2 linked regions of the Macaca fascicularis genome follow. The protein of the gene in region 2 purifies or fractionates together with the protein of the main gene of each other region. This does not show direct contact. Links are inferred from orthologs where the notes say so. Each region holds a gene or a part of one and is shown on either strand. Other genes may lie near its edges.

Region 1 (15,634 bases), on a different chromosome or scaffold from region 2:
TGGTAATGAGGGTAGGTAGGCCGGGGCTACCAACGGGAGATGCAGTTTATTTACACCAGCAGCCATGGGGGCAGAGGGAATACACAGCGTTTACAAAGTTAGCTACCTGTACAGAATGGATTACATATGCAAAAATAAAAATCTCAAGACCACAGGACAGCGTGAGCCCCACCCCCCTCCCCCAATGACCCCAGCATGCGGTAATGCCAGGCGGGTGGCCCCTGGGCATGCGGGGGGGAGTGATGCATGGAAGGAAAAGCCACCGGCCATGGAAATTAGTACAGAACCCCCCCACACACACTCAGACACATGATAGGATACAGGGTGGACAACACCTAGCCGGGGTGGGAAGGATGGGAATTGAAACCCACACAGCCTGCTGTTAAAGGGAGGGGAGTGGGGAGCTCCTAGCCCCTGTTCAACTACATGGTAGGGGGGCACTCTCTCCCCAGAAGGAAAAGGGTTTGTTCCCTCAGAGTCCCTGCTGGACCAAGCCCATCTCTTACCCAGCCTGGGCAGGGGGCTCTGCCCTGAGGGCGGGCCAAGGAACAATGGGGAAGTTTATGTGGACAAACCAGTTCCCAAACTACTTCCCACTTCTCCCTCCTCCAACCAGAAGGGGGAAAAAGGGAGAAGCCACAGGGCAAAGAGTGTATTAGGGCCTGAGCTGCAGCTGCCTCTCAGAAGGGAGAGTGGCCCACAGCCTTCCTCCCTTCACCTTCAGCCCACTCCCCAGACTGCATCTGGAAGCGGCTGGAGGCCTGCTGAGATCCTCCTCTCCCTCCGGCCTCCCCTCAGAGGGAGAAGGCTACGGAGGGCCAAGAACGGAGGAGCCTAGGCCCCAGGATTTATTCTAACTCCTGCCAAAATGTTTGGCTTTTTAAAAAATAATCACAATTTGTGGGTTAAAAACCAATTTGCAACCAGGCATGAGCCACAATCAGAACCACCCCAGGGGGAGAGCGGAGTTCCAGACAGGGCATTGCAGCCCCATCTCTGTTGTTCCCTTAACCCTCTAGGGTCCCTAACCCGATCAGTCCAACCAGTCCTGGGTACTAGCTACCCAAATGTGGGATGGCTCCTCTTGGGAAGAGGGCAGGGGACATGTCCAGGAAGTGCCAGAGAACTTGGCTCAGGGTCACCTCCACCCGTGTCAGTCAGCTCTGCTCCCAGCCCAGGTCGCGGTCCTCCAGCTTGGCTCCTGGGAGTGGTGGTGCCCGCATGGAGGGGGGACGGTACATCTCTTCAGGATGTAGACCAGGCAGGTGGGCACACTGGCATGACAGTCCCAGAGAGGGGCAATGACACCCCTTCCCCTCCACTGACAACCCGGAGCACAGAGGCCACCCTCTCTTCCCACCCGACTCCTAGCAAAGGGGGAGAGGCACGAGATTAGGATTTTCCTCAGAGCCCCAAACCACAAGTACAGAATAAATAACTTAAAAGCGCTAAGGAAGGGAAACAGGGCAGGCTTTGGAGGCAGGAGCGCCGAGAGAAACTGAAGCCGGTCAAGGTGAAGGGGGTGGAAGCAGCAGTTGGGAACCTGGGCTGCCCCGGTAGGGCAGTGGGGCAGGATGGGCAGGAGGAACACGGGGCCACCCCAGGAGGGTGAGGCTGGGTCCCTTCCTGGGGCAGGGAATGAGGTAAGAAAACATTTCAAATAAAGCAGCACCGTTCCCTCTCACCTTGGGGCCCCACTCCTCACCAGCCCTGGGTCAGGGAGGAGAGACAGGGGGAGGAATTCTGACACTTCTCCCTCTTCCTACCCTCCCTTTCCCATTCCTTGAAGCTGTAGAGGCTGGAGGCCCTTTCCTGGCACCCAACAACAAAAGGACAGCTCCTGCTGCCAAGGAGGCCCATGGGGACTGAGGGGAAAGGGCTGCCCCTGTGAGGGGCAGGGAAGGTGGCGGCAGTTCTGGACGCCCACCTCAGCAGACAGCACTCTGTGCCTGCCTACCCCTGGGACTGGGGGCATTTGATAGGATTCTGCACACAGACAGGACATGCCCAGCCTTGCCCCTCAGCTCCAAGCACCGGACCCATTCACATTGCTGAGGGCGGCCAAGGCAGGCCCCCTCCAGGCTCAGCTTCCAACCCACAGCCTCCCGGGTCACCACATTGCCCCTCAGCAGGGCTTAGTCCAGTTCCTGGGGTGGGGGGCAGGCAGTGCCCTGGCACAGCGCCCAGGTCAGGCCCCTGGCCTAGCTGGACATCCAGTAACTCACAGAATAAATAGGAAAACTGCCTCCCCACCAAACTTATGTCCAAGGCATAATATGTCCAGGTCTGAGTCCTGCACGCTGAGGAGTCGTGCTCCATTGCAGAGGACTTTGACACCCCCCAGGGGCGCATAATCGGATCCTCTGCCTGCCTGGCCCACCAAGCTTCCCAAGCCCCAACCCCCAGCAGCCGTCCATTTGCCAGGCTATGCCACCTGGGTGGGGGTCAGGAGAGAGGGCTCTGCTCAGCCAAAGGCTATCCCTTGCACCCAAGTCAGTTGATGTCATCATAGATGCTGGGCGTCGGGGGTGCCGGTGGCTTTGGCTTCTTCTTCTTGTTGGAACCTAGGCCGGAGGCAGTCCCTACCAGGCTCAGATGGGATTTCTTTTTCTTGGTTTTCCGTGACTCAGAGCTGTTGGTACCTGTAGAGAAAGAGACACAAAGGATGAGAGTAGGGTTGTGGCAGGAGACGTGGCACTCCCACGGCTTCGGGCACAGCCCCTGGGGCCCAACTGTATCACGTACCTAGACCCCATCCCTGATTTTCACTCGTCTTGGAGGAGCCTGAATCAGAGGGTGAGAGGTCAGAGGAGCCATCCCACTGAAGCCGGCTGATCAGGGCCTGGCTGTCAGTCATGTCAAAGCTGTCATTATCCAGGGAGCTCTCGACCTCTGGAAGGACGCTAGAAAGGGGATGAGCCAAAGAAGGGCTTTAGAGATAGCGATCATCGCCCTAACTGGTCATAACCCCCCATCCCTCCTGTAGGGCCACTTACGCCGAGGGCCCGAGGAAATAAATCCGCACGGTTCGCCTCTGCTCATCTGTGTGCTGTGGGCAGCGTAGGGACCTGGTGGTGAGGCAAGGCAGGGAGGGGTCTGAGGAACTCAGGTAAAGCCCCTCCTCTCGGCAAGGCAGGAGCCACAGGCACAGACAGGGAAGGGATGAGTGCAGATTCGTCCCCAGACTGTGGCCGAAGGCCTGATCATTAGAGGAGGGAAGGGGAAGGGCAGAAGCCCCATTGCTCAAGTCCGACCCATGCCCATGGTGAGTGTGCAGGAGGCCCCTGGCCCCCTTTCTAGGTTCTGTGCTCACCTTGTGCACATCTTCTTGGTGTGTTCAGAAATCACCCCACATTGCTGGAAGAGGAATATAAGCTGAAAGGAGGGATGGAGGGAACCTACTCTAGATGCTAGATGTTCCCTTCTGCATAAATGCTAGAAAGCACAAGCAGAGATGGCCCCAAGGTGTCCAGAGCAGACAGTCCCAGGACACTATGGGCCAGGAAACCTAATTCCAGAAAGAGAGAACAATATGGCCCTGACTGCTATGTCACCAGCTTCCTCCCCGGCCTTGACCACTGCCTATGGCTCCAGCCCACTCCCAAGGGCCTTCTCCCTTGCCGGTCCCCCTCACCGTGGTGAGCAGGCTGCGAAGCTCCTCTGGCCCCAGGGTCTCATAGCTGATCCCAGTTGAATTGTTATACTGCAGGAGAACCAGAGGTACAGGTTAGAGATGGGGCAGAGAAGAGACAGGGGCCGGGGGGAAGCGAGAATCAGTCCCTCTGGTGCCTTTCTAAGCGAGAGGCTTTAGGACAACCCTGCCGTTTTCCAAGTGATTTCTCTCATCCCACCTGCCTATGGATAAGGGGCGGGACTCAGAAAGAACATAAATATATAAGATCCAAATAGCTCATCAGTGCCTCTGGCTGTCAGCATTCTGATCCCTACTTGTCCAATTCCCTACCACCTCACAACCAGGACAATGAGAGCAAGTGCGAGGGGCGGCCCATACTCACCTTAAAAGGATCCGAATTGCTAAGTTCCCCTGAAGAAGAAAAAAGAAGGGGAAGGGTGTTTGATGCAGAGGTACAGACAGAGAACCCTGAAAATAACCAGAGAGGAAGTGGGGGTGACAGAAGGATCACAGGCCCTCCCTCAATTCCCCTATCCCCGGGCCCCACCTCCACCCCCCAGCAATGAGTCCCAGAAGACGTAGCTAGAAGCAATCCCATTGCTCCGGCCCCACTTACCATTTTTGTGTTTTAAAGACTTGGATCTTCGAGGGGAATTGGGGTTCTGGAATGGGAGATACCATAGCTTTGGGGAAAGGGTAACGATAAGGGGGAGCCGAGAACCCAGGGAAGGAAAAAAGATTTGACAAAGCAGCATCCTCAAATTCCTACTCTTCCTCCCCAGTAGGAGGCCTGTCTACCCATGTGCCCTCCCCTGCCCTCCATTCCCACACCCCACCCGCCCACCACAGACACCCTCAAGCCCCCAGTGACCTCAGCCTTGAGTCAAGACACTTGAGGACTCCCTGCCCAAAGGGGAGGGTATCTGTCCTTTGCCCATTAATTCCCCAATGCTTGCCCCGGCTCTCACCTTGTCTGATTTCCTCTTCTTGGCTAAGGGGGAACAAAAGCATAAAGAGCAGGGTTTCCGTTAAGTTCTCAATCTAAAAGCATCTCAAGAAAACTGTACAATAGGCTGGGCGCAGTGGCTCATGCCTATAATCCCAGCACTTTGGGAGGCCCGGGCGGGCGGATCATGAAGTCAGGAGATTAAGACCATCCTGGCCAATATGGTGTAACCCCATCTCTACTAAAAACAAAAAAATTAGCTCGCCGTGGTAGCGCACACCTGTAATCCTGGCTACTCAGGAGGCTGAGACAGGGGAATCACTTGAACCCGGGAGACGGAGGTTGCAGTGAGCCAAGATTGCGCCAATGCACCCCATCCTGGGCAACAGAGCAAGATTCCGTCTCAAAAAAAAAAAAGAAAAAGGAAACCGCACAACTATACTCTCTCTTCATCATTCAAGACAACAACCTTAGCCGGGCGCAGTGGCGGGCGCCTGTAGTCCCAGCTACTCGGGAGGCTGAGGCAGGAGAATGGCGTGAACCCGGGAGGCGGAGCTTGCAGTGAGCCGAGATTGCGCCACTGCACTCCAGCCTGGGCGACAGAGCAAGACTCCGTCTCAAAAAAAAAAAAAAAAAAAAAGACAACAACCTGTGACCACTTTATACCCAATTTCTGCTTCCCACCTCATCCCAATGCTCCCCAAGTTTCCCCAGATCCCCAAGCACCTTTCTTTTCCGAGCCATAAGACCAGTCGTTGTCATTGATGTCATCATTATCCTCTTGGTCACTCTCAGACTTATTCATATTGTTGCTATTGGCAATCCTGCCAAAGGGAGGGAAGAGAAAGGGTCAAGGGGGTCACCCCACTCTGCCCCCAACTTCAGAGGCACGTGGGGTATCTGGGGCCAAGTAAAACCCACTCTCGGTACCCTCCTAATGCCCCCGGGGTACTACACCATGGCACAGGCTGCAGAGAATGGGCAGCTCTGGTTCTCTCACCGGCGGTTGGCGATTCGGCTGCTGTTCCGACCCATTCCCAGGCACTTCTCCAGATGGGGAGCAAAGCGGGAGGCGGCAATGCTGCGACTGCAATTGGGGCAAACACACTCTTTGCTCTTCCACTGGTTGAAAACCTGTCCAAAGATGTCCAACCCCGGCTGGTCCACGATCTCTGGGGACAGGAGAGGCTGGCGATCAGGGTGGGCAGGGGACCCTCTCCTCTTGTTCCCACCTGGGGTCCCACGGCCTCTTCAATCCCTCCCCCGGCTCACAGGAGCTCCAGATGCTACATCTAGCACAGTTTCCAGAGAAGGAAACTCCAAACAGTCCCAGGGAAGGGCTGGACTGCTGCTCCTTCACCCTGAAGCTCACCAAAATCCTTCATGCTATCAGGGTCCGTGTCGTCCAGGAAGAAGTAGCCACACTTGACAGCCCGGTGTACCTCAAAGCAGAATCCCAAACAAGAATCCTCGACCAGGTCCGCATATATCTCCTGAGCGATGGCCTGGGCCCCAGGGGAGAACATCTACGGTCACAAGAGTCACAGCCCCCTGGACTCTCACCAACCAAATCTGCTGCCATCTGGCCCCAGCCAAAAATCACGCTTTCTTTGCCATTTTCCCCATCTTGACTTCGTGTTCTTTCTTCTTCCTGGATCCTTGGCCTTTTCAGCTGGCTATTCCCTTTAAGGAACAAGGCTGACTACCCAAATTCCTCTTTGGTGTGGATGCCAGATATAGCGACGTAGAGACATCAAGAGAAAGAACTGGAGGCACACGTGGGGGAGCCCTCACCTCTAGTTTGCTGTTATCCAGGCCAGACAAAGACATTTCCTCCATTTTCATTTGTAAACTCTTGTGGAGACGGCGCTCTGACTGCTCATAGCACAGCGGGCGGCAACACGGCTGCACACACGGGGGTGGGGGTGTTGTTGTGAGTCCAAGGCACCTCTGAAGGCGGCCACCTTCCCTCCCACCTCGCTGCCCAGAGCTCAGTCCTGGCATCAGGGTCTCTCCCTCCCCAAGGCCCAGGCTCACTAAGTCTGGATGGTCCTTCAGGGCCTGAAACCTAAAGGGGGCCTAGTCTTTCCCAGGCCTGAGCTCAGGCCCTGGACTCCACTGCCAATCAGAGTCTGGGTCTATAGGAGGCAGCAGCTCACCCTAGGTCCCCAAAACTCAAACCCCTCTTTGATACCCATGGTGCAATGCAGCAGGGGGAGGAGAAGGAACTCCAAGGCCTCAAAGCAAACCCACAGGGTGTGGCAAAGAACTGCACAGACTCCTAAATACACCCCCCCGCCTTCCCTAAAGACTCTCCTCAGAGTCACCTCTGCTTTCAGCCAGGATGTCCACTTGGGGGGGTACTGCTACCAGAAGTAGAAATGGCCCTAGGACCCTACAACCTTCACCCCACTCTGCCTTCCCTTGAAATCAGCCTGCCACTCCACGAGGGAAGCAGAGCTCACAGGAGCCTAGAGCTAAGGGACATTTCTAGCCACCATGAGCAGGAGCGGCGGGGCGGGGGGGGGTGCCCGGTGGGGTGGCACGCCAGGAGCGGGCACTCCCCTTACCTGTTCTTCCTTTAAATAACCACCCACCCTCCCTCAGGACCAGCCCGGAAGTCTCTCCAAGAGCCCCAAAGTCCAGGAACCCCCACCCAAGGATTCAGACACAGCACCCACAGCCCAGGGCCCCTCGGAACGGTGGGTACGAGTTTCAGGAGCCGCCGGCCTAGAGTGGGGTGGGGACTGACGAATGAGCCGGGGGCACTGGGAAGGGTAGGAGGCCGGGCCTCGGCTCTTCCCCCGTCCCTGCGGCACTGCTGCTGCATCATACCGACTGGGGGGAGGAGAGCCGAGCCGCCGGGGCCGGCACCGGGCCGGGACAGACCGACCCCCAGAGAGTGGACAGAGTGGGACGCGTCCCGGCCCCTCTCCTTCCCCGCCCGCCAGCAGCCCCGGCCGGCCGGGGAGAGGAGTCCGGGAGGGTGTCTCTATTGTCCCGGGGGCTGGGGCCTGGCTCCCTAACAAAGGCCCCGCGCCCCCTCCCCGGCCGGCCCTGCCCCGCCCAAGGGGGACCCAGACGGGGGAGAGCTGGGGGCCCCGGCCCGGCCGGGAAGCTGGGGGAAGCCGGGCGTTTCCGCGTCGGCCCGGGGGGAGGGGAAGGGGCGCTGACCCAGACCTGGGGGGAGGGGGCCCAAGCCCCGCCTCGGGCCCCGCCCCCCGCCCCCCGCAGGCCCCTCCCCCGTCCCCGTCTCCGTCCCGTACTCACCCCGCCCGGGGGGCCGCGCCGGGGCCCGGCGGCCTCTCAGGGCCGCGTCCTCCGGCGGCGGCGGCGGCGGCGGCTGCTCCGGAGCCCCATGTCCGTCGGTCCGTCCTCGCCTCTCCCCGGGGCCCAGGGCCCGGGGCCGGGGGGTCGGGCCGCCCCCCCGCCTCGCCGCCTCACCGGGCGGCCATGGCCCCTTCCCCTCCCTTCTTGTCCCGTCGCCGCCTCCTCCTCCTCACCTCACCCCGCCCGCGCGCAGTCCGCGCGCCGTCCGCGCGCCCCTCCCCCCGCCCCCCACTCCAGCCCGCCTCTCCCGGGCGGGGGGTGCGGCGCGAGCCCGGAGCGCGCGCGCGTGTGCCGCGACCGGAGGATGGATGGATGGAGCGAGCGAGAACGCGAACGTGCGCGCGCGCGCCCCTCTCCCCCTCCCTCCGCGCGGGCGCGAGGCCAAGCGCGAGCGCGCTCCAACCTCCTCCTCTTCCTCCTCCCGCCCCTCCCCAACACCCCGCCCTCCCCCTCCCTTCCTCTTCCTTCTTTCGCTTTCGCGCGCCCAGCGACTGCTCGCGCCTGCTAGAAGGGCCCGAGCGCGTGCATCTGCCCCGCGGCCGCAGCTCGGCAGCATTTGCTCCAGGGGGCGGGGACCGGGAGGGGAGGAGGGGCGCCACGCCGCCGTCCAAAGTACCGGCGGACGGGGACGGGGGCGGGGAGATGGGCGGGGCCTTCGCGGACCTCCCCGACCAATCGCCGAGAGGCCTCGGCCCGGGAGGCCCAATAAGATGGGGGTGGGTGGGGCGGCGTTCAAGGTGAGGTGCGCGGTGCGCTGGGGGCGGAGACATTGTGCCGTCCCGGCCGGCTCGGGGGCGGGGGCAGCGGGTGGCGTCGAAAGAGAGCGCCGGCTCCCAGCCGATCCTGGGACGCCTTCCGGCCCAGGCTTCCCCGCCCTTCCCTCGGGGCTCCCCGCTCTCTTCCCCCCCCCCCTCCGCTCCCCCCTTTACCCCGAGGCGTGCAGCCACTTCTGTGAAGAGGCCAGACTTGAAGTGGGGCGCAGTTAGGACCTCGGAGCGGAAAGCCCGTAGAATCGAAGGGGCTCGCCCGCGCCTCAGTTCTCCTGGTTTCTGGGCGGGTCTCAGCCCACGCCAGGCCTGCGGACCAACAAGCGGCCGAGATGAGGGTCCGCTGCTGAGGTCGGAGGCCAAGCTGCGCCCTTCTGCGCGGAGCGCCCTCCCCACCCCTCATCCTAATTTAGATCCCACACCTGCTTGCCTTTCCTGCTTCCGGAACCCACGCTGGACCCCCCACCCCTCAAGACAGCCTGCCTGGCACTGGCCAGATCCTTCCCCCGACCCAGTGCTTTTCTCCTGGGTGCAGAGTGTCCCTATGCTCACGCTCTCAGTCCCTCTTTAGGAAGGAGCGGGCCTTTTCCCAGCCGCGGTGGATGGCTGGATTGGCGCTTTCATCTCGGTTACTCTGTGTCTGGTGTCCTGGAACGGTTGTGTGACAGCCCTCTCCCCTCAAGAGATAAGATTAAAAAGGAGGATAGTCTGAAATCACATACTTGGAGCCATCTTTGGTTTTTAGTTTTCCGCAAATATTTTATTCTCACCGATTTCTCCTGAGAAACAGCAAACATTTATTGAGGCGATATTCCAGAGTAGTTAAGATCAGGCGTCTGATTTGAATTTAAATCGTTGGATCTAGCAAATGAGTTTCCTCTGCCTCAGTTTCCTCTGTTGTCAGTGGGCATAATGATAGTCCTATCTCATTGCGTTGCTGTAGTGATTAACAAGTCAGTGCATGTGAAACTCTTAGCTCTGTGTAAGTGCTTGGTAAATCTTAGCTGTTATTCTTACGGTGCTCCAGGTGCTGGGACAAAAGATGATATAAGACAGTTGTGCTTCTTCAAGAAGTTCACTGTCTTGTGGGATAGACAGGTAGGATAATAATTGCAAAAGAGTGTGACGAAAACAGCAGAGAGAGAACAGAGGTAGCCAGAAGGAGACATCAAATAATGTAAGAGAGTTGGTCAAGAAAGGCTTCTTGGGTTGGGCGGGGTGGCCCAGGCCTGTAATTCCAGCACTTTGGGAGGCCAGGAGCTCAAGACCAGCCTGCAAAAATGCAAAAATTAGCTGAGTGTGGTGGCATGCTCCTGTAATCCCAGCTACTCAGGAGGCTGAGGCAGGAGAATCGCTTGAACCTGGGAGGCGGAGGTTGCAGTGAGCTGAGATTGCACCACTGCACTCCAGCCTGGGCGACAGAGCGAGATGCTGTCTCAAAACAAAACAAAAAAGAAGAAAAAGAAAAACTTCTTGTAGTGGGAGATGAACCAGGTAAAGGTAGGCCAAGAAAGCATTGGATATCCCCAACCGGAAGCTTCAGAAGCCTGGATCAAGCTGAAACAGAGGATTGGGTGGCAGAATAGCTGGAGGTGAGCAGGCTGGATCATACAGGACAAAGCAAGTAGGTGTTGAAAGTTTCGCCTGTAAGCCATGAGGAATCCTCAAGGGGAATCATTCACCAGACTTATATATTTAGTAGATCATGCTGGAGTGTGGTCTGGAGAATAACTTAGAAGCAGTAGGTTTTTTTGTTTTGTTTTTTTTTTTAGCGTTTTGCTCTGTCACTCAGGCTGGAGTGCATTGGTGTGATCTCAGCACACTGCAACTTCTGCCTCCCAGGTTCAAGCGATTCTCATGCCTCAGCCTCCCTAATAGCTGGGATTACGGGCACATGCCACCTTGCTCAGCTAATTTTTGTTTTATATTTTTAGTAGAGACAGGGTTTCACCATGTTGGCCAGGCTGGTCTCGAACTTCTGACCTTAGGAAAGCCACCTGCCTCAGCCTCCCAAATGCTGGGATTACCGGCATGAGCCACTGGGCTTGGCCAAAAGCAGGTTTTTGTTACTGATTGGGGTGTATGGAGGAAAGGAGAGGGAGGTCTCGAAAACACCTTTAACTAGGATGGGGAACTCAGGGGAGGACATGGGAGGATGACTTCACTCTGGGGTATATTGAGGTTTCTGTGGGATCAGCTGATGGAGACCCGAAAGGTGATTGAACTTAGATCTGGCACAGAGAAGTAAGCTAGGTTTTCAAGAACTTCAGCAACATAGCCTCAGCCTTGTTTTTCTCTTATCTCCCACCTCCTTTTCAGGAATTCTTCCCGCCAGTGATGCTGATCTGTTTCTTACCTAAATATGCCCAGTACATTCTGCCCTAAGGAATTTGCGCCATGGCCAGAAAATCCTCCTGGCTTCTCCCTGTTGACCTAAATCTTTCCTCATATCCCCACCTGTGGCCATCCTCATACCAAACTTCTGTACAACTAGACTGTACTGTTCATTCTGTGCTTGGCCTGGGCTGCTCTGTGGTGGTGACCTCTTTGGGCATGTACCAGTCTTCACTGTTAGCACCAGTTCATAAACACTAAGGCCTGAGCTGGTCCTGACTCTGGGTGAGACCCTGGGGTTACAGCAGCAAGCAAGAGAGACACACAAACCTTGTCCTAGCGTGGCTTACAGCCTAGCAAGGCCTGATGGGAAGGAAATAAGGCCTGAGTGTGAAGGCATTCAGGCTGCTGAAGAAACATATAGTGTGGAGACCCTTTTTCTCAGGAGCTCAGGGAAGGAAGTGGTCTTTTAAGTGGAGCCCTGAATTAACTAGGCAGAGAGAACACCATGTGTATAGACCCTGGGACAGAGCATGTTATGTTCGAGACATGAATGGCCAGTGTGGCTAGAGCCAGGGCAGGGCTAACAGGGGCAGCAGATCCCCTAGGGCCTTGTGGGCCAGACTTATTCACCCACTCAACAAGTCTTTCTTGGGTGTCGAATGTATATCAGGCAGTTTCAGGTGCTGAGATTACTGTAATGAACAAGCAGATAAGGTGTCTTCTACTTGGTGAGATAGATAATAAACAAATACATAAACAAGAAGATGGAGGACGCCTCTCTAGAGCAGGTGGTTGGGAAAGGCTTCGCTGAGAGAGGACATGTGAGTTGAGGCCTAAAAGATGAAAAAAACATCAGGTATGTGTAGGGTTGGAGGAATAGCCATTCTGGGCCGAAAGAACAGGTGCCAAGACCCCGCGGGTAGGCGTGTTTGAGGAACAAAAGAGATCACTTGGCTGGATCACTGTGAGTGGTTAGGAAGAGCAGGGTGAGTGAAGATAAGAGAAGGAATGCAGGGGCCAAACCTTGTAAGGCCATGGTAAGACATGGTAAATTTTCAGTACAGAAATAATCAGATTTATTTCTGAGATAACTTTGGCTGCCATGTGAAGAATGGGCTGTAGGGGGCGAGAGTGCAAGCAGGAAGATCAGCTTTAGGAGGTCTTTGCAGAAGTTGAGCAATGATGGTGGCCTTAAATAGGATGGGCGTGGCAGCTGTGGGAGTCACCCTGTGGGAGGGGTCGACAGATTTGAGACAGCTTTAGGAAGTGGAATGGAGAGGTCTAGGTGATTGAACCTGGAGGTGAAAGGGAGAGAGAAGTCAAGGCCAATACTCTGCTTCCTAGGTTGAACGACTAAGCGTTTGGTAATCATTTCGGGTCTTGAGGTATGAGATGCCTGCAAGATATCCCAGAGGATGCAAGGGTGTCTACACAGGTCTGCAGCTTGGAAGAGCAGTCTCTGTCGGCACCACCCTTCAGAATGGTTGCATATTGGCGATCATGGGAGGTTGAAGGGAGAGATGTGAACACCTGGGATAAAATGAGGAAGAGCTGACACCAGCAGAGTAGATCAAGAAGGCAAAAGACAGACAAGTGTTCACCAGATGTAATGAACATGTTGGTTACCTTAGCAAGGAGCCTCAAGGGATATTGGTAAGTTGGAGGCCAAGAGGCGCAACAAGCTTTTTAGAAGTTTGGCCAGTATAGGATAGGGGTGAGGGCTGGGAGAGAGTTCTTGGACGGGACCTGGGTCTGCAGCCCTTTGAGTTTCCAGGAACCCAGCCAAGGCCTGCACGGGGAAGGGTGTCTTCCTTAATCTCAGAGAGCAAGTCATCTCAGCCCAGCCCAGCCTGCTTCCCATCAGAGGTCTAGATGGTCTTAGGAAAGTCATCCTTAACCCTTAACCTTTAACCCCGGGTGGAGCTGAAGGCTCAGAGTGGGAGAGTGCTCCCTCAACTCCCCACGATAAGCAAGCCCTACACTAGGAAGGGTTGCATGTCCAGGGCAAACCCTTGACCCTAATAGCTCATCACCTCCAATTCCCCAAGACCATGTACTCTGAATGAAAATGCATTTGTTCTCCAACTTCTCAGTCTTTAGTGGTCTGACAACCCAAAGTGAACAAATGGAATTGAGAAAAGGGCAAGAACAGTAGCACAGAACAATGTGAATATAGGTTACCTATGGAATCTTCAGGGAAGAGGAAGATAGTTCTAGGGAAAAAAGGCAAATTGGCTTCAAGCATTTTTATAGATCAAACCTGTTGGGTCACCCCTGTGAACTACATCACCTTCATTGATTCCAGTGACCAGACAGCAGTCAAACCTTTGTTTTTCACTTTATTATACAAAAAAGGGAAAACAAAACTTCCACAGTTGGCTTTAAGCATAGGCAGACACCTCTAAGCCACTCCCTCCCACCTCCCATGATACAAATTCAAGTTGTGGTTGTTGTTGAATCCTACAAAACACTCTTTAAATATTAGAAAAAAAGTTGGGGGCGGGGACGGGGGTCTTCCCACCCCAGCCATCCCATCCCAGTGCCAAAATGCACTCAAGAGTGACCTCTTACAGCACCAACACCCCCACCCTGACAGTCCTGTTTGTACTGTAAGAATTTTTCAATTTTTAAAACAGGAAAAAAAAAAAGGGCCCCATTGCAAGTTGTTTTTAAATGAAAATACATTCCACTGAAACACAACAGTGTAGGGCAGCCAAATAGGAGACTGGGGTTCTTTGCAGGGCTCTTGGGAAGAAATAGAACCTATAAACCCCTTTACTTAATTCCAGGATTAGGACAAAGGAAGGGGAATGGGAGTGGAGAGTAACCCCCCAGACCTCCCCACCCCCAGCACCAAGGTCCAAGGCGAAGCAGAGACTGTCTGCCTGCCTTTGGGAGAGGGACCCACCAGCCTCTCTGGGGCCAGGGCCTTTCCCCATTCCTGCCCCACTTCTGCAGCGAAGTTCCCGCTCTTCCCCCATTCCTTGGCTTTCATTCACAGGGGGAAGGTGGAAAAGCACCAAGCCCCAATTTAATAGGTCATTGACATGATCATAAAAAAAAAGAACCCTCCAAATTTAGTCAACAAAAAAGTAAGAACTACAGATATAAGGTGACTTGGCTTATTAAGAGGAATAAGGTACCAAAAAATTTGGGAAATGGCTGGGAAGAATTAGAGACAGCTGAGAAGCAGCTTTTGCAGACTTCTTGCCCAGCTGTGGGGTTGGGGGAGGAGGGAGCAGACCTGAGAAATTAAAGGAAATAGGGGGTGGTGGGAGGATTTAAGGAAAGCTGAAGGGATGTGTAAGATAGGAGCTCCCAGCACATTTCTTGAAGCCCAGGTTCTGAGCCTAGGGTGGCCAGGCTTGGCCCCTCAGATGAGCAGGGGAGGCCTTTTCCACCAAATACAAGCTTTAAGCTTCACACCATCTTGCCTGTCTTTCCGGAAGCCTTCCTGCTGGACAATGGAGACCAGCAGCTCAGATGCATGTGACCCTGGCAGAGGGAGCCTGGTCTGGGAAGCATCCTAGAGTGGCTTCGGCACACTCCCCCAGTGGAATCAGAGACTGGGCAAAATAGAGGATGTGGAGAATGGGATAGCCTCAGTCTGCTCCCACCAGGGTCAACATCTCCCGGCTCTCACCGACCCTTTTTCCAGATTCACAACAAACTGATGTGGGCTCTAGGACAGACCCCCTTACACACACACACACACTCTCTTTTGCACACATCCACAGCTGCACCCATGCTATGTACAGGAACACACATACACATACTCTCTTCCACACACATCAAGACCATTTTTAAAAGGTTCCAAACCTACCCCTAAACCCTCCCTCTCCCAGAAATGACAACAGAGACGGCAGCCGAGATCGGTAGGAAACGTCTCGTTGACAGCTCAGAGCTTAAAAAAAAATATATACACATATATAAAAAACACTTCTGCCCCCTCCCCCATGAATGGGTCCAGGCAGCTCCTTCCTGCAGGGGGCAGGGGAGAGGGCCACCAGGGCAGCGCCTGTTTTCTCGAAGGCACCAGCCCTCCTCTCCCCACATTCCCTGCCTCCAGTTCCAATGCAGGGGTCCAGGTGGCAGGCCCCTCTGGGAAGGAATGCGTCTTCCCCAAGCTTCCACCCCACCTTGGATTGGGCCGCAGGTGTGGAGGGCCTCATCGAACTCTTTGGGACCCCCCCCACCCCCACTCTCCGGTACACTGTCCATGCCGGAACTGCAAGTGCAGAGAAGTCGGAGGGGTGGGCCAGGCTGGTCCGGTGCTGGCTTAGTCTGATGGTTGCTGTCCCTGGAGGAGGACCCCCAAGGGCTGATGTCTCTGAGGCTGCAGAGTCCTGGCCTGGGCTCCTCCAGCCCCCTACCCCCACCGTATTTTTTTTTTTTTAAAAAGAAAGAAAGAAAGTGGGGGATGCCAGGGGGGCAGGGGACAGAACATGGGGGAGAAACAAAGGTGGTCAGTTGGGGAGGGGAGCTCCTGGGCTCTCCCTGGCTGCCCTGGGGTGGGGCTGAGCCTCAGTTGGAGTCAGAGTCTGAGGAGTCCCCTGAGGAGGAGGAGCTGGAGCTGCTGCCCTCGGACTCGTTGTCTTCATCCTCATCGTCATCCTCGTC
Region 2 (15,731 bases):
CCCGGCCGGGCGCGGTGGCTCAAGCCTGTAATCCCAGCACTTTGGGAGGCCGAGACGGGCGGATCACGAGGTCAGGAGATCGAGACCATCCTGGTTGACACGGTGAAACCCTGTCTCTACTAAAAAATACAAAAAAAAAAAAAAAAAAAAAAAACTAGCCGGGCGAGGTGGCGGGCGCCTGTAGTCCCAGCTACTCGGGAGGCTGAGGCAGGAGAATGGCGTGAACCCGGGAGGCGGAGCTTGCAGTGAGCCAGGATCACGCCACTGCACTCTAGCCTGGGCGGCAGAGCGAGACTCTGTCTCAAAAAAAAAAAAAAAAAAAAAAAAAAAAAAAAAGCAGCTCCCTTAAAAATCAACACTCTCTTCCAGTCGAGAGTCACATTTTAGAAATATTAAAGCTTATGAGAATTCTGCATTAAACAATTTACAAAATATCTGATGTGTTTAAAAACACAGTTTGCGTGACCAAAAAGAAAAAGGAATGGGGGATTTACTGTAGGCATGTAAAAAACAGATGAATTTGGAGTTTATAAAGGGTGTTTCACCTGTGTTAGCTCACTTTTTTTTTTTTTCCCCACAATTACCCTACAAGACAAGTATTCTGCCTCTACCAACTAAGACTGGCTGAAGATCACAAATTCAGTAAACAACAGGCTTTGATCCCAGATAGCTGATAACCTGAAATATTCAGGCCATTTAGATATACTATGTTTTAATAAAAATCCTCTCATTTTAGTGCCTTAGTTTTTTCATTAGTAAAAGATCTCTATCTCCTAAAACACTAAAATATTGTGAAATTACTGAAAAGTTGTAAACACAGCAGTCAGGGGACTTACATAGTCATTAAGTTTTCTTGGAGACTGATGACTTTAAACACTCAGTTAAGAAATTCTTCGTTTAAAAGAAAATCTTAGGTAGATGGATAAGCAACTGTAACAGACAAATATATATGCAAATTGGTGGGAGGGAACCAAAGACATCTGAGCAGACTTCAGAACTACAGTTTGAAAATCACTAATTTCCTCCAAATCCCTCATTTTTCAGGTGAGGAACTGAAGTCCAGAGGGGTTTCTTGAACTGCCCAAGGACACACTACTATTTAGTGATACAAGCTGGGACTAAATCTGAGGTCCCCCGACACCTGGTCCAGAGTTCTTTCTACTATACAACAAGGAATATACAAATAAAAGTTTATCATAACTAACCCACAAAGCCTCCACAATGTGTATGTCACACTGAACTGTGTTGTGAAATATTAATATCTGCCTATGCCAAACCACAATGGGAGCAGTAAAGAGCTAGGCTCTGGAGTTAAATTATAGGCTCTAACACTTACACATGACCTTGGGCAAGTTATGCCACCTCACTGCCTCAGTTTCCTCATCTCTAAAATGGAGATTAATTACTTCTCTCCTAGGTTACATAAAATAACATATGTACAGCCCTTAGGAAAGTGCCTTGTACATATCAGGCATTTAGTTCATGCCAACAATGATGATGAACTCAAGCAAAAGCAAAGCTTCTTGAAAATATATCACAAAAGATTATTGTTAAACATGTATATCCTCAAAGAATGTTATGACTAATAAAGACTAACATGAATACCGTGAAATATATAGAATTCAGTCATAAAACCACTATAGCATTTAAATCGCAAAAGTACATTTCAAGATTTTTTAAATGATTTATATTTGTATGTTATTTTAGTTAATATAGTCACATAAATTATTTCAATTTACTTGTCCTGTGAATTCAACAGCATCTTTTCAGTAACTCCTACCTACTATACACCAAACAGTGTACTATTTTCTTTTTATTTTGAAACAGGGTCTCTTTCTGTTGCTCAGGATGGAGTACAGTGGCACAATCTCAGCTCACTGCAGTCTCCACCTCCTGGGCTCAAGCAATCTTCCCACCTCAGCCTCCCAAGCAGCTGGTACTACAGGCACCAACCACCAAGCTCGGTTACATTTTTTTTTTTTTTTTTGAGATGGAGTTCTGCTCTGTTACCCAGGCTGGAGTGTAACGGCACAATCTTGGCTCACTGCAACCTCCGCCTCCAGGGTTCAAGCAATTCTGGTGCCTCAGCCTACTAAGCAGCAGGTACATGCCAAGACATGCAGCTAATTTTTGTATTTTTAGTAGAGACAGGGTTTCACCATGTTGGCCAGGCTGGTCTCAAACTCCTGATCTCAGGTGATCACCCGCCTAGGCCTCCCAAAGTGCTGGGATTACAGGTGTGAGTCACTGTACCCGGCCCAGCTAATTTTTGTTTTAAATTTTTTGTAGAGACTAGGTCTCATTATATTGCCCTCACTCTTAGGCTCAGGCAATCTGGACATGTCTTAGCCTCCCAAAGTGCTGGTATTATAGGCATGAGTCACAGAGCCAGCCACTATTTTCATGTTCATGATCTTATTTAACCTTCACTACCCATTAACTAAGGGCCAGATATTTTCAAAGGGAGAACTACAGTACAAAAAAGCCTGACAGACCCATTCTAGAAAGTAAGAGCCTCATTAGTACAACCTATTCGGTGGGAATATGTTTGGATAAATGAGATACAATGGAAAGAACACATCAAGTAAGTGCCCAAGAAAATGTTCGTTCTTCCTTAGCAGTATAGGGTTGTTTTCTGTAGAAAATATATTGTGACCAGATCAAAAAAGCACCATTACTGTGACTTAAAATATTATTTGTTTTTTTTGTGTTTGGTTTTTGAGACAGAGTCTCACTCTGTCACCCAGGCTAGAGTGCAGTGCACGTTCTCGGCTCATAGTAACCTCCGCCTTCCGGGTTCAAGAGATTCTCCTGCCTCAGCCTCCTGAGCACCTGGGACTACAGGCATGCACCACCATACCCAGCTAATTTTTTGTATTTTTAGTAGAGATGGGGTTTCACCATGTTGGCCAGGCTGGTCTCCAACTCCTGACCTCAAGTGATCCGCCCACCTCAGCCTCCCAAAGTGCTGGGATTACAGGCGTGAACCACCACACCCGGCCTGTGACTTACAATATTATTTGTAAAAGAGAACTGTCTTCAGTAATAGTGCCTATTATACACTATCTATGCTGTTACACAAAATTTGCGGAACAACTTCTGCAGGTCACTCTTTAGTGGAGGCTGTAGGTAGACGAGACAAAACCAATTCAACATAAAAATGTTTGTAAGGACAACAATTTTTAAACGTAATTCTCATTTGATGCCACCAACAGTCTTATGAGAAGGTGGGATGAGGTTGGGTACTAATTCTATTTTACTGATAAGGAAATTGAGGCACCGATATTAACAAGTTAAATACCTTAACTGAAATGACAAAATGTGGCAGAAAAGGGCAAAAGCTAGGTTTACAGAATTGCGTCTTAGTGCTCTGTTCACCAACCCACAGAACATCTCAGAACGTTATTATCACTTCTAGATTATCCAATAAACTTAAGGCTACAGCAGCTAATAGTTACTGAACTGCACCCAACACATCACATGAGTTATTTAAATTAACCTCTTATGAACCTAGAAGCAGAAGCCATCGCCATCTTCATTTTATAAATGAGGAACCGAGTATTCTTAGGAAAATTAAATAATTTGTCCCAAATCACATGGTTAGGAAGTAGCTGAGTGAGAACTCAAATCAAGTGTTAGAGCCTCAATAAAATATTTTACCCACTTCAGTATAAACTTAATAATGCATGTAGCTGAGTTATTTTTCATTATTTAAGTAACTGTAAGTAAAACCCGTCTTTAACATTCTAATACATAATCAGATTTCTGATGGATTTCACTATTCAACCTTACCATAAAATAAAATCAGTGTTATTTCAACACAAATACTCAATCTCCTGATTTGACTGACATAGACTAATGCTTTGCAGTCACCCCCACCAAAAGATAATTTTCTTCCAGAGGGCACCAAAACTCAAGCTGCTAAAGATTTCTATCCAAAGCAAAATTTTAAATTATCAGTGGCTTACATGGGAAAGTCACTTGCTGGCCTTATTCCAGGTATCTCATTTATTATTTAGACACAACAACAGTAATTTTGTCACTGTTTTAAAGTATATTTCTGGCCGCGCGCAGTGGTTCACACCTGTAATCCCAGTACTTTGGGAGGATGAGGCATGTGGATCACTTGAAGTCAAGAGTTCAAGACCAGCCTGGCCAACACAGTGAAACTCTATCTCTACAAAAAATACAAAATTAGCTGGGCATGGTGGCATGTGCCTGTAATCCCAGCTACTCAGGAGGCTGAGGAGGGAGAATCGCTTGAACCCAGGAGGTGGAGGTTGCAGTGAGCTGAGATCACACCATTGCACCCTAACCTGGGCAACAAGAGCGAAACTCCGTCTCAAAAATAATAATAAAGTATTTCTGATATTGCAATGTGGTTAATTGTCCTAAAACTATATATTACAAGTTCCAAGAAGGCTAACAGTAGGGTGACATTATTATGTGGTCCCAATTCGAACATTTTTGATAGTGAAAGGGGTTCTATTAAATTAAATAATTGTGCTGGAACAATCAGGCTTTATACCATGACTGTCTCAGAAAAATTAAGATATTATGGTCACCCATAAAAGTACCCCATTCTGATTTGCATATTATGAGCTATTCTCTCCATCTGATTTAATTCATGGGCTTTAAGTTATTGTTCCAGATCTAACCATTATCTTCAGCCTTAAGACCAAGAGCATCTTTTTTTTTTTTTTTTTTTTTTTTTTTTTTTTTTAAGAGACAGGGTCTCCCTCTATAGCTCAGGCTGGAAGGCCTGGCCTGACCATGATTCACTGCAGCCTTGAACTCCTGGGTTCAAGAGATCCTGTGGCCTCAGCCTCCCAAAGTGCTGTGATTACAAGCATGAGCCAACGTGCCTGACCCAAGGGCATCATTTTACAGACATCAGGCCAGGGTTAAGGGTGCTACCGCTACCTATGAAAGTTGTTTGTTCTTTTAGTTTTATTTTCATATTTGACTTTATATAGACTTACTTAAAAAAAAGATGCACATATTTCAAGGAAAGCAATTTTGTGAAACATCTATTACCTAATTTCACTTATCTCTCCAAAAGACTTGGATAACCACAAAACTAGTTCTAAAATGTCCTAATGCTCAACAGTTATAATTTTTCAAATAGCTTTATTACACGAAAGGTTAAAAAAGAAAAAAAACTTGAATAAAAGAGCTGGAAACTTCTCACTGAAAACCAACCAAAGTAGTAAAAGATAAAAACCAAAAATCACAAAATAGTACCATAATGTTTAAAGAAAACTCCAGTTAATACTGTCATAGCTCTTTGGATCTGGCATTACCCGTACAACCTAGGAGACAAAAGAACGTTTTGCTTTAATTTGTCAAGATGTAAATAAGTACTAACAGACCCAAGGTCTGAACTGCAGTATTTGAATGAAAGGCATTATTTGAATAGAATTACAATTCCGTAAGCCAATAAATGTTCCAAAGAGCTGGCTTCTCTGATTTGAAACTCAACCATATCAAGACTCGGAAGGACTCTCAACATCTAAACTGTAGACCTGTGCTGCCCAATGCAGTAGCCATCACTAGCCACACGTTGGTATTTAAACGTAAATCAATGTATTAATTAATTTACGAAACAAATTAAAAATTAACTTCCTCAGTGACACTTATCATATTTCAAGTGCTGAAGAGCCACTGTGCCTAGGCTACCACTAGTGCCTAAAGGCACAGATTATGGAACATCTCCACCAAGGCAGAAACTGCTACTGAAAAGTGCAGCCTAGACTTAGGCACACTTCGCTCCAATGTCCCGAATATCCTAAGATAAGAAACTTTCAATAGCACAATGAAGTGCATTCCATTCTAGAAAAGTACTCTCACGAACTGTTCCTCATAGTCAAATTCAGCCTCTATGAAACATTCACCAGAAATTCCCCAAGTTCTGTCCTTCAAGTAAATCTTTGCAGGGCGAATTTAATTCCTCTTCCAAAGTCTGCCCTTTACATATATTAAGACCCCAGGTCCTCTCCTTCCAAATACATATATAAATATACACACTATACATACATATATACACATATATACACACACACATTTCTTTCTACCGAAATAATTTAACATTTCTATTAACCTCGTGGAGAAATGCCAATTTATCCACGTGTACAGTAATAACATGTCCAGGATCGTCTGAGTGTCAAATATTACATATCACTGTCTTCATAACTTCACTCTCACTTGTGAGACCAAATGTCCTCATTCTCTGAGAAGATAAGGTCACAGTCATTCTGAACTCCTAAAACATGGAGAGCAAAAGCAGAGCTAAAATGTACTGAGCAGCACCTGGCGTTGTTCCAGGCGTTTAACGTGTATTTTCTCATATAACCCTGACAACTCTGAACTAGGCTATAAGATCGCCATTTTACAGACCAAAACAAGGCAAAGACAAGCTACATAATTTCCCCAGGGGCCACAGACGTGAGCTCACCCCAGAGAGAACACAGCGGATCTTCTCCTCTTTCTGGATGCTACACTCCCACTAACTACCTAACTCTTCTCTCGCCGTGCCATAAAGCAACAATTTCCCTCTTTAATGATTCCCCCGGCAACCCCCAACACTACCTAGACGACCCGCGCACCCCGCTCCTTAGCACAGCCCAATCCCCCTCACCCCACGCCCACCCGCCAACAGGGAGGAGTCGAGAGGCAACTCCACAATCGGCAGCAGAACCAGGGCGCTGCGCCCGGTCAGCGCCTCCCACAGCCGCCCTCCCTTCAACACTCCCGCGTAGACGCCGAAGACCCAGGCGGCCGCCCTAGAGCCGGGACCAGGGCGTGGCCGGCGCGGGGGCCCAGAGACGCTGGGATCTCCGCGCTGCGTCCCTCCCGGCTCTCGGACGTCTCCCCCGCCCGCACCCCCGCACCGCCCCCCGCACGCCCCACAACCTCTGCTTTAAGAACCCTTGTAGGCACGGCTGCGCTTCCTGCGAGGAGAATGTGGGGGGTGGAGATGGTGCGATTTCTGCTGCTGCGGCCCGGGACACGCTTGGAAAGGGGCGGGGTGGGGGGGCCGAGAGTGTGGAGTGTAAGAAAGGGAAAAGGTGACTCGGCTGTGTGACGGGGGGGAAGGGGGTGCAAGATGGCGTGAGCCCGACTCTCGGTGAGGCGGGGGTTGCGGAGACTGAGGAGTTAGCGATACGGACGCCCCCAGCACTGGCTGTGCGGGCGCATGCGCGCTCTGCCAGGTGGCGCGCGGTCTCTCAGCCCGGGCGAGCTACTTCCGCCACGCTAGCCGGGGGCGGGGCGATGTGCGCGGCCCTCAGAGGCCGGAGAGGGCAGCGCTGAGCCACGCGGCGGCGTTTAGAGCTGGGGAGGCTGGGAGCGGTGTGGGGATGATCTGAGATCGCTCAGGGTCTACAGGGTGCAGGCTTGAATTCTTTAGGAATTGGGCCCGAGAGGGATAGGATTTTTGACGGATTCGGTGACCGGCACTGGAAGTTGATTTTCAACTCCAGGGAAGAGATTCACCGTTGTAAGCTTCTTTCCAGGAATTGGAGTGAACGGGATTTTAGCGGGATTGCGCGTTTAGAATGGTGAAGGGAAACGGAGAGGTCTGAACCCTCGCCGCAGGGCCGCAGTGCGGGCGTGTGGACGTGGAACGCTTTCTGGGACGGCGAAACCGGCTCTTCCTCCGCTCCCGCGCGCCATCACTCCCTACCCTGACCTCGCACAGAATCTGTTTCATTAATCTGCAATTAATGTTTTTCCCCAACTCGTAACTAGACGCAGGCGTTCAACTACCATGTTTTGTTATTGAAAACTTGTTCTACTTGAAGGCCTTTTTTTTTTTTTTGGACGATTCTGTGTTTAGATTTTGGCCTGTTCCTCATTTTAAAATCTTGCACCCCCAGTATTGAACTGTACATCCTGTCCTGCCACATTTGATTGATACAGATGTAGTTCTTTAAATAATACAGTAGTCGTAAGACAATGCTTTCAGTCTTTCACTGTATTATATGAAGTCTTATTTCTGTTTTAACATTCTTATTGGTTGCTTAGAGAAGAAAACTGGTTATCCATGCTCACCTGCACACCTGTGACGTCAAATACTATAAAATACTGTATTTTATAGGGATTCAAGTATTAACCCTCACCAAGTCTTTTTAAGCATCACTGCTTCAGTTATTTTCTTGCCTATACATACTGTGAGTTCTGAAATAATCCCTTCCTCCTATTTGCTTAAATTGTTTAAAATAGCAACTTATTTAGTTATTTCCTCTGTGGATTGTAGTTGAGTCTGCTAATGTTGTGTTTATTCTCTTTAATCTCCCCAACGCTTCAATATTTTCCAAATACCTAAAATTCCAAAAGAATAAATATATTTAGGATGTGAGAGTTCAGCACAATGTGTAAATCAGGGATCAATTCATTGCTGAGCAAAGTGTGCAGTATAAGGGAAAGTAATAGCATCGTAATAACTTCTTACTTTGGAAGACTGGTTGAAAAGCTATTTTGAGTACATTACCAAGAAATTAGTTAACAGAAGATTAAGAGAAAAATTGGTGTTCATATCTAAAGAAACGTAAAAGTAGATCATTTCAATTAAAATTATGTTTAAAGTTGTCATGGAAGTTCCTGCACTGGAGTTTCACCTGCATCAGATGAGTACCTGTTTGACCCAGTTTATCAGGATAGAATCCAGATCATCTTACTCTAGGATACTGGTGTCCAGCCTGCATAAAATCACACACAGGCCGGGTGCGGTGGCTCACGCCTGTAATCCTGGCACTTTGGAAGGCCGAGGCGGGCGGATCACAAGGTCAGGAGATGGAAACTATCCTGGCCAACATGGTGAAACCCTGTCTCTACTAAAAATACAAAAAATTATCCGGGCGTGGTGGCACGCGCCTGTAGTCCCAGCTACTCGGGAGGCTGAGGCAGAAGAATCGCTTGAACCTGAGAGCCAGAGGTTGCAGTGAGCCGAGATCGTGCCACTGCACTCCAGCCTGGCAACAGAACTAGACTCTGTCTAAAAAAAAAAAAAATCACAGACAACAAAAGTTAATGAGAGTGAGACATGGAGAAGGGAAACTGAGTTAAGGCATTGATACAGTAAGTTTAAAAATTTTGTTCTTAGGAAACTGAATTGTGCTGTTGGCAGAGATCTGAGTTTTAAAGTCACATGAGTTAACCAGGTTCCTAGCTCCTGGAATGTCTTAAAATCAATTTTTGAAAATCTGATTTAGCCATAATTTTTCTCATAGTTTGAGACCATTGCTATATACAAAGGGCCAAAAATATTTTTCCATTACATTCATATCAAGTATCCTAAACTATCAATGGTACTAGGGTATCTTGATTATAACAAAACTAGAACAGCAAAGCTGTTGCTAAAGTTAAGGTTTTGATGACTAACACCTCTCAGAAAAACAAGTGATTTCCAAGGCATCTGGGGAAAACGCATCAGGAGAAGAAGTTAATTTATCACTCCACAAAAATGTCTCCATGACCTGGACAAAATTCTTAAAGAAAAATGAAGCATTGTAAGTGTAGACTTTTACATTCCTCTGGCATGTAACATTCACATAGACTCACTAGTGCAAAGAGAAAGTGCATATATCTAAGTAAAAGTGCTCATGGGCATCTTAAAATGATTAGATAGTAAGCCCACATTCTCAAAAGAACAGCAGAAGTCATGGCTAATATGGAACCATCTCTCTGATTCCATGGAAGTGATTTCTTTTTATTATTATTTTTTGAGACAGAGTCTCACTCTGTCACCCAAGCTGGAGTGCAGTGGCCCTATCTCGGCTCACTACAACCTCCACCTCCCGGATTCAAACGATTCTCCTGCCTCAGCCTCCTGAGCAGCTGGGATTACAGATGTGCGCCACCATGCCCAGTTAATTTTTGTATTTTTAGTGGAGACGGGGTTTCACCATGTTGGTCAGGCTGGTCTCAAACTCCTGACCTTGTGATCTGCCTGCCTCGGCCTTCCAAAGTGCTGGGATTACAGGCATGAGCCACTGCGCCTGGCCAGAAGTGGTTTCTTCTCATGTGGATGCCACAGTAACAGTTCAGGTGACCTGGAAATTCTTTGTCGTTTTGAGATTCATAACTCTTACTTGTTAGGATACTTGTGGGGCCTTTTTATTTTCTATCAATTATTTCATCCTTTGCTATATTTGCCTTCTATTTTTAATGCTTAAGTTGTCACCATGAAAATAAACTGGGGTAGACTGCATATTATTTAGAACTGTATATTGCAATTGTTGCTAGATTCGTTTTTTGATGTTCAGAACTGTTTTCCAATTGCATTCTCAAAAGTATCTTGTTTTATGTTTAGAACAAGTCATTCTGACCAAAAAGATTACTCAGCCCGGTAGTACCTGAGCAAGTCACTTAACATCACTGAACTCCAGTTTTTTATCTGTAGAATGAGATGATAGAACCAAATAAACTAAAACCTTACAGTCCTGAAATTCTATGTTCCTTCAAAATGGGAATAGCCAAAGGATGGATCCTAAAGTTGTGCAGAATAATTTCAGCATTTGTGCTACAAAAATTACAAAAGTATTCAGGGCTTGCTTTTTTTTTTTTTTTTCTTTTGAAATGGGGTTTCCCTCTCTGTTGCCCAGACTGGAGTGCAGTCATGCAATCATACCTCACTGTAGCCTCAACCTTCTGGGCTCAAACAATCCTTCCACCTCAGCCTCCTCAGTAGCTGGGACTACAGGCATGTGCCACTACACTCAGCTAATTTTTAAATTTTGTGTATAGATGGGGATCTCCCTATGTTGCCCAGGCTGGTCTCAAACTCCTAGGCTCAAGAGATCCTCCTGCCTCAGCCTTCCAAAGTGCTGGGATTACAGGATTGAGCTGCCATGCCCTGCTTGATGTTACACATTTCAAAAGAGAAACCAACATGAAAAGATGTATCAGATATGCTGATGCACTGCAGGGGGTGGGGGTGTCACAAAATTATTGATGTGTAATCAAATTGGCTTCCCCTACCTTCCAATTCCATTCATAAGGAAAAGCAGTACAATGATTTGAAAAGAAATGTTAAAAAAAAATTATACAGTACCAGGTAGCTTGTAGAACTGTAATCATGATCATCCTCTTAGGGACCTGTCATTGTAGATTTCACAGTCCAGGGTCTTTTAAAATTAGTGCTTGGCTGTTGAAAAAATGATTATGTTTTTGAGAGTCAGAATGGTAAGGGAACCATGGAATACCAGCATTCCAAAGACCCTTTGAGCTCTTCAGGCACATGAAAACTTAGTTGTTCCCATTCTCATGGAATCCAATATGTAATACTCTTGTACTGGAATCAGACAACTTTTACATTTCAACAGATTGTTGTGGGCCTACTATGTACCTGACAGTATTCTCGAAGCTGCAGATATAGCAGTGAACAAAACAGAAAAAACCTATGCCATCATCAAACTCACATGCTAGTAGGAGTTAGACAATAAAAATAAATACCTAAAATAAATACCTAAATTATATAGTATGTTAGAAGGTCATGAGTGTTATCAGAAAAGTTTATATGGGAAGGAACGTGGAATGAGACCAAGCACAGGAGGAAAGGGGAAGATGTAATTTTTAAATTGGGCAGTTGAAGCAGGACTCACTGAGAAAGTAGTATTTGAAGAATGACTTGAAAGTGAAGGAGATACCTGCACATATCTGAAGAAAGAGCATTCCAGACTATGAGAACAATTTGCAAACCCTAGGGTGGGGACAGGTCTGGTAATTTGAAGCAACAGCCAGGAGGCCACTGTAGCTAAAGAAGAGTAACCCAGAAAGAAAATCATGTGATATGAGGTCAGAGAAGCACTAGGCCAGATGGTGAAAGGCCGTGTGTGTCTGACACTGAGAGGCTATTGGCAGAAGATTGACTTCGTAAGATTTAGGCTTTATATTGGTTACCTTGGCTCCCAGGTTGAAAATAGTCTGTAGAGTGACAGGTCCTGTTGCAGTAACCCAGGCAAAAGATGATGGTAGCTTGTACTAGGGTTGTTACAGTAGAGGCCTTAAGACATGGTTGGGTTCTGGGTATATTTTGAAAACCAATATGATTTGTTAACACGTTGGATTTAGGATTCTAGAGAAAGAGAGGTATCAAGGATGAACAACTTTGTTCTGAGCAACTGGAAAAATGGATTTGCCTACATTCACTGAGATGGGGAAGATTGGGGTTGGAGTATACTGGGTAGGTGCAAGAGATCAGGAATGCAGTTTGGGGAATAAGTACATAATTAAACATGATGTTTGTATTATCTTTAATGTTTTGCCATCAAAAATAAATAAGTTCTGGACTGGGCACAGTGGCTTACGCCTATAATTCCAGCACTTTGGGAGGCCAAGGCAGGTGGATCATTTGAGGCCAGTTCGAGACCAGCCTGGCCAACATGATGAAACCTCGTCTCTACAAAAAAACACATAAAAAATCAGCCAGGTGGGGTGGCTGAGCCTGTAATCCCAGCTTCCAGCTACTAGGAGGCTGAGGCAGGAGAATCGCTTGAACCCAGGAGGCAGAGGTTGCAGTGAGCCGAGATAGTGCCACCGCACTCCAGCCTAGACAACAAAGTGAGAAAGTTCTTAAGGAAATGAAGTTTGAATTTGTAACATTTTATAATAATTAAATTAATTTCTAATCTTGCTCATGTAATAAAGTTCCATTTAGACCTATCCAATGTATGTCAAGGAATACCTTTAAGAAAGTTTGAGAAAAGCTAAACATCCACTTGTTTTAAAAAATAAAAATAAAAAAAATTTTTTGGTCTATCAGTCCTCGAAAGTAGGGAATAAAGTTAAGACGAGTATACAGAAACATCCAGTTCTCCAAAGTATTTTCACTGAAACTGAATCTATTTCAGTGAATTATTCAAATAACTGCCTTCTTTTTCTATTACTCATGGAAACAGGACCAAAAGTTATTTGGTGCCATATGAAATAAATGACAGTGTGGCTAACGCAACCTGGTATTCCTACTTCACATTCTGAAGTTGGATGCAACAAACCTATTTTGACTAAGTAATGCTCAGATCATTTGTTAAATAGTAATCAGGGAACTGTACCAACAGGTTTCACCAAGTTACTTTGTTTTTATTTTTAGCTTTTTACCGAGGCAGCATAAGCTGTATTTCCCTCTTACCAGAATATATTTAAAACCATTTCTTTAACTCAGTCAGGTATAGTGTAAAAAATAAGGGCTTTAGTGCCACTTTAGCCATAAGGCTGGGCAAGTTATTCAACTGAAAATAAGTGTCCTCCAGTGTAAAATAAGGATAGGAATACCTAATGTAGGAAGGTTGATATCAGGATTTAAATGGGAAGTTCCTGACACATTGAAAATATTTAACAATTTGTAGTTATTATTGTTTTCCGGCGGGGGAGTGGTTGGTTGGTTGGTTGGTTTTTTTAGACAGAGTTTCGCTCCGTTGCCCAGGCTGAGTGCAATGTCATGATCTCAGCTCACTGCAACCTCTGTATCCTGTGTTCAAGCTATTCTCATGTCTCAGCCTCCTGACTAGCTGGGACTACAGGCATGCACCACCACACCCAGCTAATTTTTGTATTTTTTGTAGATACAGTGTTTCGTTATGTTGGCCAGGCTGGTCTTGAACTCCTGGCCTCGAGTGATCCTCCCACCTTGGCCTCCCAAAGTGCTGGGATTACAGGTGTGAGCCACTGTGCCTGGCCAGTTTTCTAGTTTTTATTTTAATTAGTTATTGAGTGATTTTATAGTGTTTATATTTTTAATGTGTTAGACATGGGACTATTAAACACAAAATCTTATCTCAAGTATTAGATATTAGGGTGTCTTTTTTTTTCCTTTTGTTTTTAAAGACAGGGTCTCACTCTGTCTCCCAGACTGGAGTGCAGTGGCACTATCGTAGCTTACTGTAACTTCAAACTTCGGGGCTCAAGCAGTCCTCCTGCCTGAGGCTACAGATGCACACCACCATACCCAGTTAATTTTTTTTTAAATGTTTATGGAGATAGGGTCTCACTATGCTTCCCAAGCTGATCTCAAACTCCTGGCCTCACGTCATCTTCCGGCCTCAGCATCCAAATTGCTGGGACTACAGGCATGAACCACTATGCCCAGCCTATTTTTTCTTAATTCAGTAAACTTATGTAAATGTGACAATTATGCTTTTAACAAACATTTACTGAGGATATAGTAAGTACACTATTAGTCATTGTTAGACATTGGGAATATAAGATAAATAACAGAATCTCTGCCCTCAAAAAGACTTCTTACTGGTGAATTTAGGAGAGGCAAAGGTATATAAACAAGGAAGAGCAAAGGTACTATGATAATATGTAACCTGGGTATCAGCTGAGATCTCCCTGGATTTTAAGCCCTCAGTTAGGATTGGTTTGAACCTCCATTCCACCTCATTTGCAAGTCCAATACCCAACCCAAGATTTCTTCTTATTTCTGGGGAGCTAATGTTCTCACTGACCCGCTCTGGCTCTGAACTTCCCCTTATGGTAAACTAGTGTGTTTCATGGATGAGCTGCCATCTGTCCTTATTCCACAAACATCCACTCAGATGTAGAACTTAGCCCTGTTCCTAGGTTTCACCCAAAAGCATTTTCACAAAGCTCTGTGTGGGCACAGCAGATTTACTAAGGTTATGAAATGATGAAAGGGAGTTAACATTACAGAAACACAACTTAAAAGTACTGTAAATTTCTAGTCTTAAAAGTGGGCCAGGTGTGGTGGCTCACACCTGTAATCCCAACACTTTGGGAGGCCAAGGTGGGTGGATCGCTTGAGGTCAGGAGTTCAAGACCAACCTGGTCAATATGGCCCGACCCCGTCTCTAATAAAAATACAGAAATCAGCTGGGTGTGGTCGTGCACGCCTGTAATCCCAGCTACTCAGCAGGCTGAGGCAGGAGAATCGCTTGAACCTGGGAGGCGGAGGTTGTATTGAGCGAAGATCGCACCACTGCACTCCAGTCTTGGTGAAAAAGCACTCCTGCCACAATGTCGTGCTTCTCCACAATGCTCCTTTTTCTTCTTTCTACTCAGTCCTCTGCTCTTCCTCACCCACAAATTCTTATTTGTTTTTAATATTAAGTAGTTTTTTTTTTTTTCTTAGATTCCAGCAGGCTCCAGTCTTTGAGGGCTTACTGGCCACCCAGCAGTTTATTAGTGCGTTTTCTTTTTTTTTTTTTTTTTTTTTTTTGAGACGGAGTTTCACTCTTGTTGCCCAGGCTGGAGTGCAATGGCACGATATCAGCTCACCGTAACCTCTGCCTCCCAGGTTCAAGCGATTCTCCTGCCTCAGCCTCCCGAGTAGCTGGGATTATAGGCATGTGCCACCACGCCCGGCTAATTTTGTATTTTTAGTAGAGATGGGGATTCTCCATATTGGTCAGGCTGGTCTCAAACTGCCGACCTCAGGTGATCCACCAGCCTCAGCCTCCCAAAGTGATTACAAGCGTGAGCCACCGCGCCCAGCCTATTAGTGCATTTTCTCAAAGAAATTGGAGATCATTTCCTTCAAAACTATCTGCTCTAATACAAATTATCTTACCTCCATATGTATAGATTGTAGCAGGGACACAATTAGGGAGTAGTCATTTGAGGCCACTAAGTGTTGACTGGAGCAGAGAAAGATGTCAAGGAAGACAACCTCTCTGAACCTCAGTTGCCTTCAAGGTCTTGTGATGAGGATTACATGGAAATGTATGCGAAGTGCCTTGCGCATGATAAGCTCTTAATAAATGTTGATTTTT

The links.
Region 1: the proteins of SUPT3H (region 2) and ATXN7L3 purify together in Homo sapiens (affinity purification with mass spectrometry; 6 studies listed by BioGRID and IntAct, counting the BioPlex papers as one, with this or other methods). This does not show direct contact. The link is inferred for Macaca fascicularis from reciprocal best matches to the Homo sapiens genes SUPT3H and ATXN7L3.

The regions. Positions count from the first base shown.
Region 1 is NC_088390.1:65,249,323-65,264,956, forward strand, and holds ATXN7L3 (ataxin-7-like protein 3), read right to left. Parts: upstream 8,082-15,634; 5' UTR 7,851-8,081; intron 7,731-7,850; exon of another isoform or gene 6,908-7,730; intron 6,486-6,907; 5' UTR 6,426-6,485; coding exon 6,375-6,425; intron 6,107-6,374; coding exon 5,953-6,106; intron 5,753-5,952; coding exon 5,581-5,752; intron 5,405-5,580; coding exon 5,307-5,404; intron 4,626-5,306; coding exon 4,603-4,625; intron 4,318-4,602; coding exon 4,251-4,317; intron 4,103-4,250; coding exon 4,017-4,102; intron 3,704-4,016; coding exon 3,635-3,703; intron 3,358-3,634; coding exon 3,314-3,357; intron 3,069-3,313; coding exon 2,997-3,068; intron 2,904-2,996; coding exon 2,746-2,903; intron 2,643-2,745; coding exon 2,494-2,642; 3' UTR 28-2,493; downstream 1-27. Other genes in the region: UBTF (nucleolar transcription factor 1), read right to left, coding at 15,539-15,634. UniProt on the Homo sapiens protein: Component of the transcription regulatory histone acetylation (HAT) complex SAGA, a multiprotein complex that activates transcription by remodeling chromatin and mediating histone acetylation and deubiquitination.
Region 2 is NC_088378.1:126,166,337-126,182,067, reverse strand, and holds the start of SUPT3H (transcription initiation protein SPT3 homolog), read right to left. Parts: upstream 7,150-15,731; 5' UTR 6,913-7,149; intron 6,808-6,912; exon of another isoform or gene 6,455-6,807; intron 6,225-6,454; exon of another isoform or gene 6,101-6,224; intron 5,313-6,100; exon of another isoform or gene 5,245-5,312; intron 1,213-5,244; exon of another isoform or gene 1,045-1,212; intron 931-1,044; exon of another isoform or gene 837-930; intron 1-836.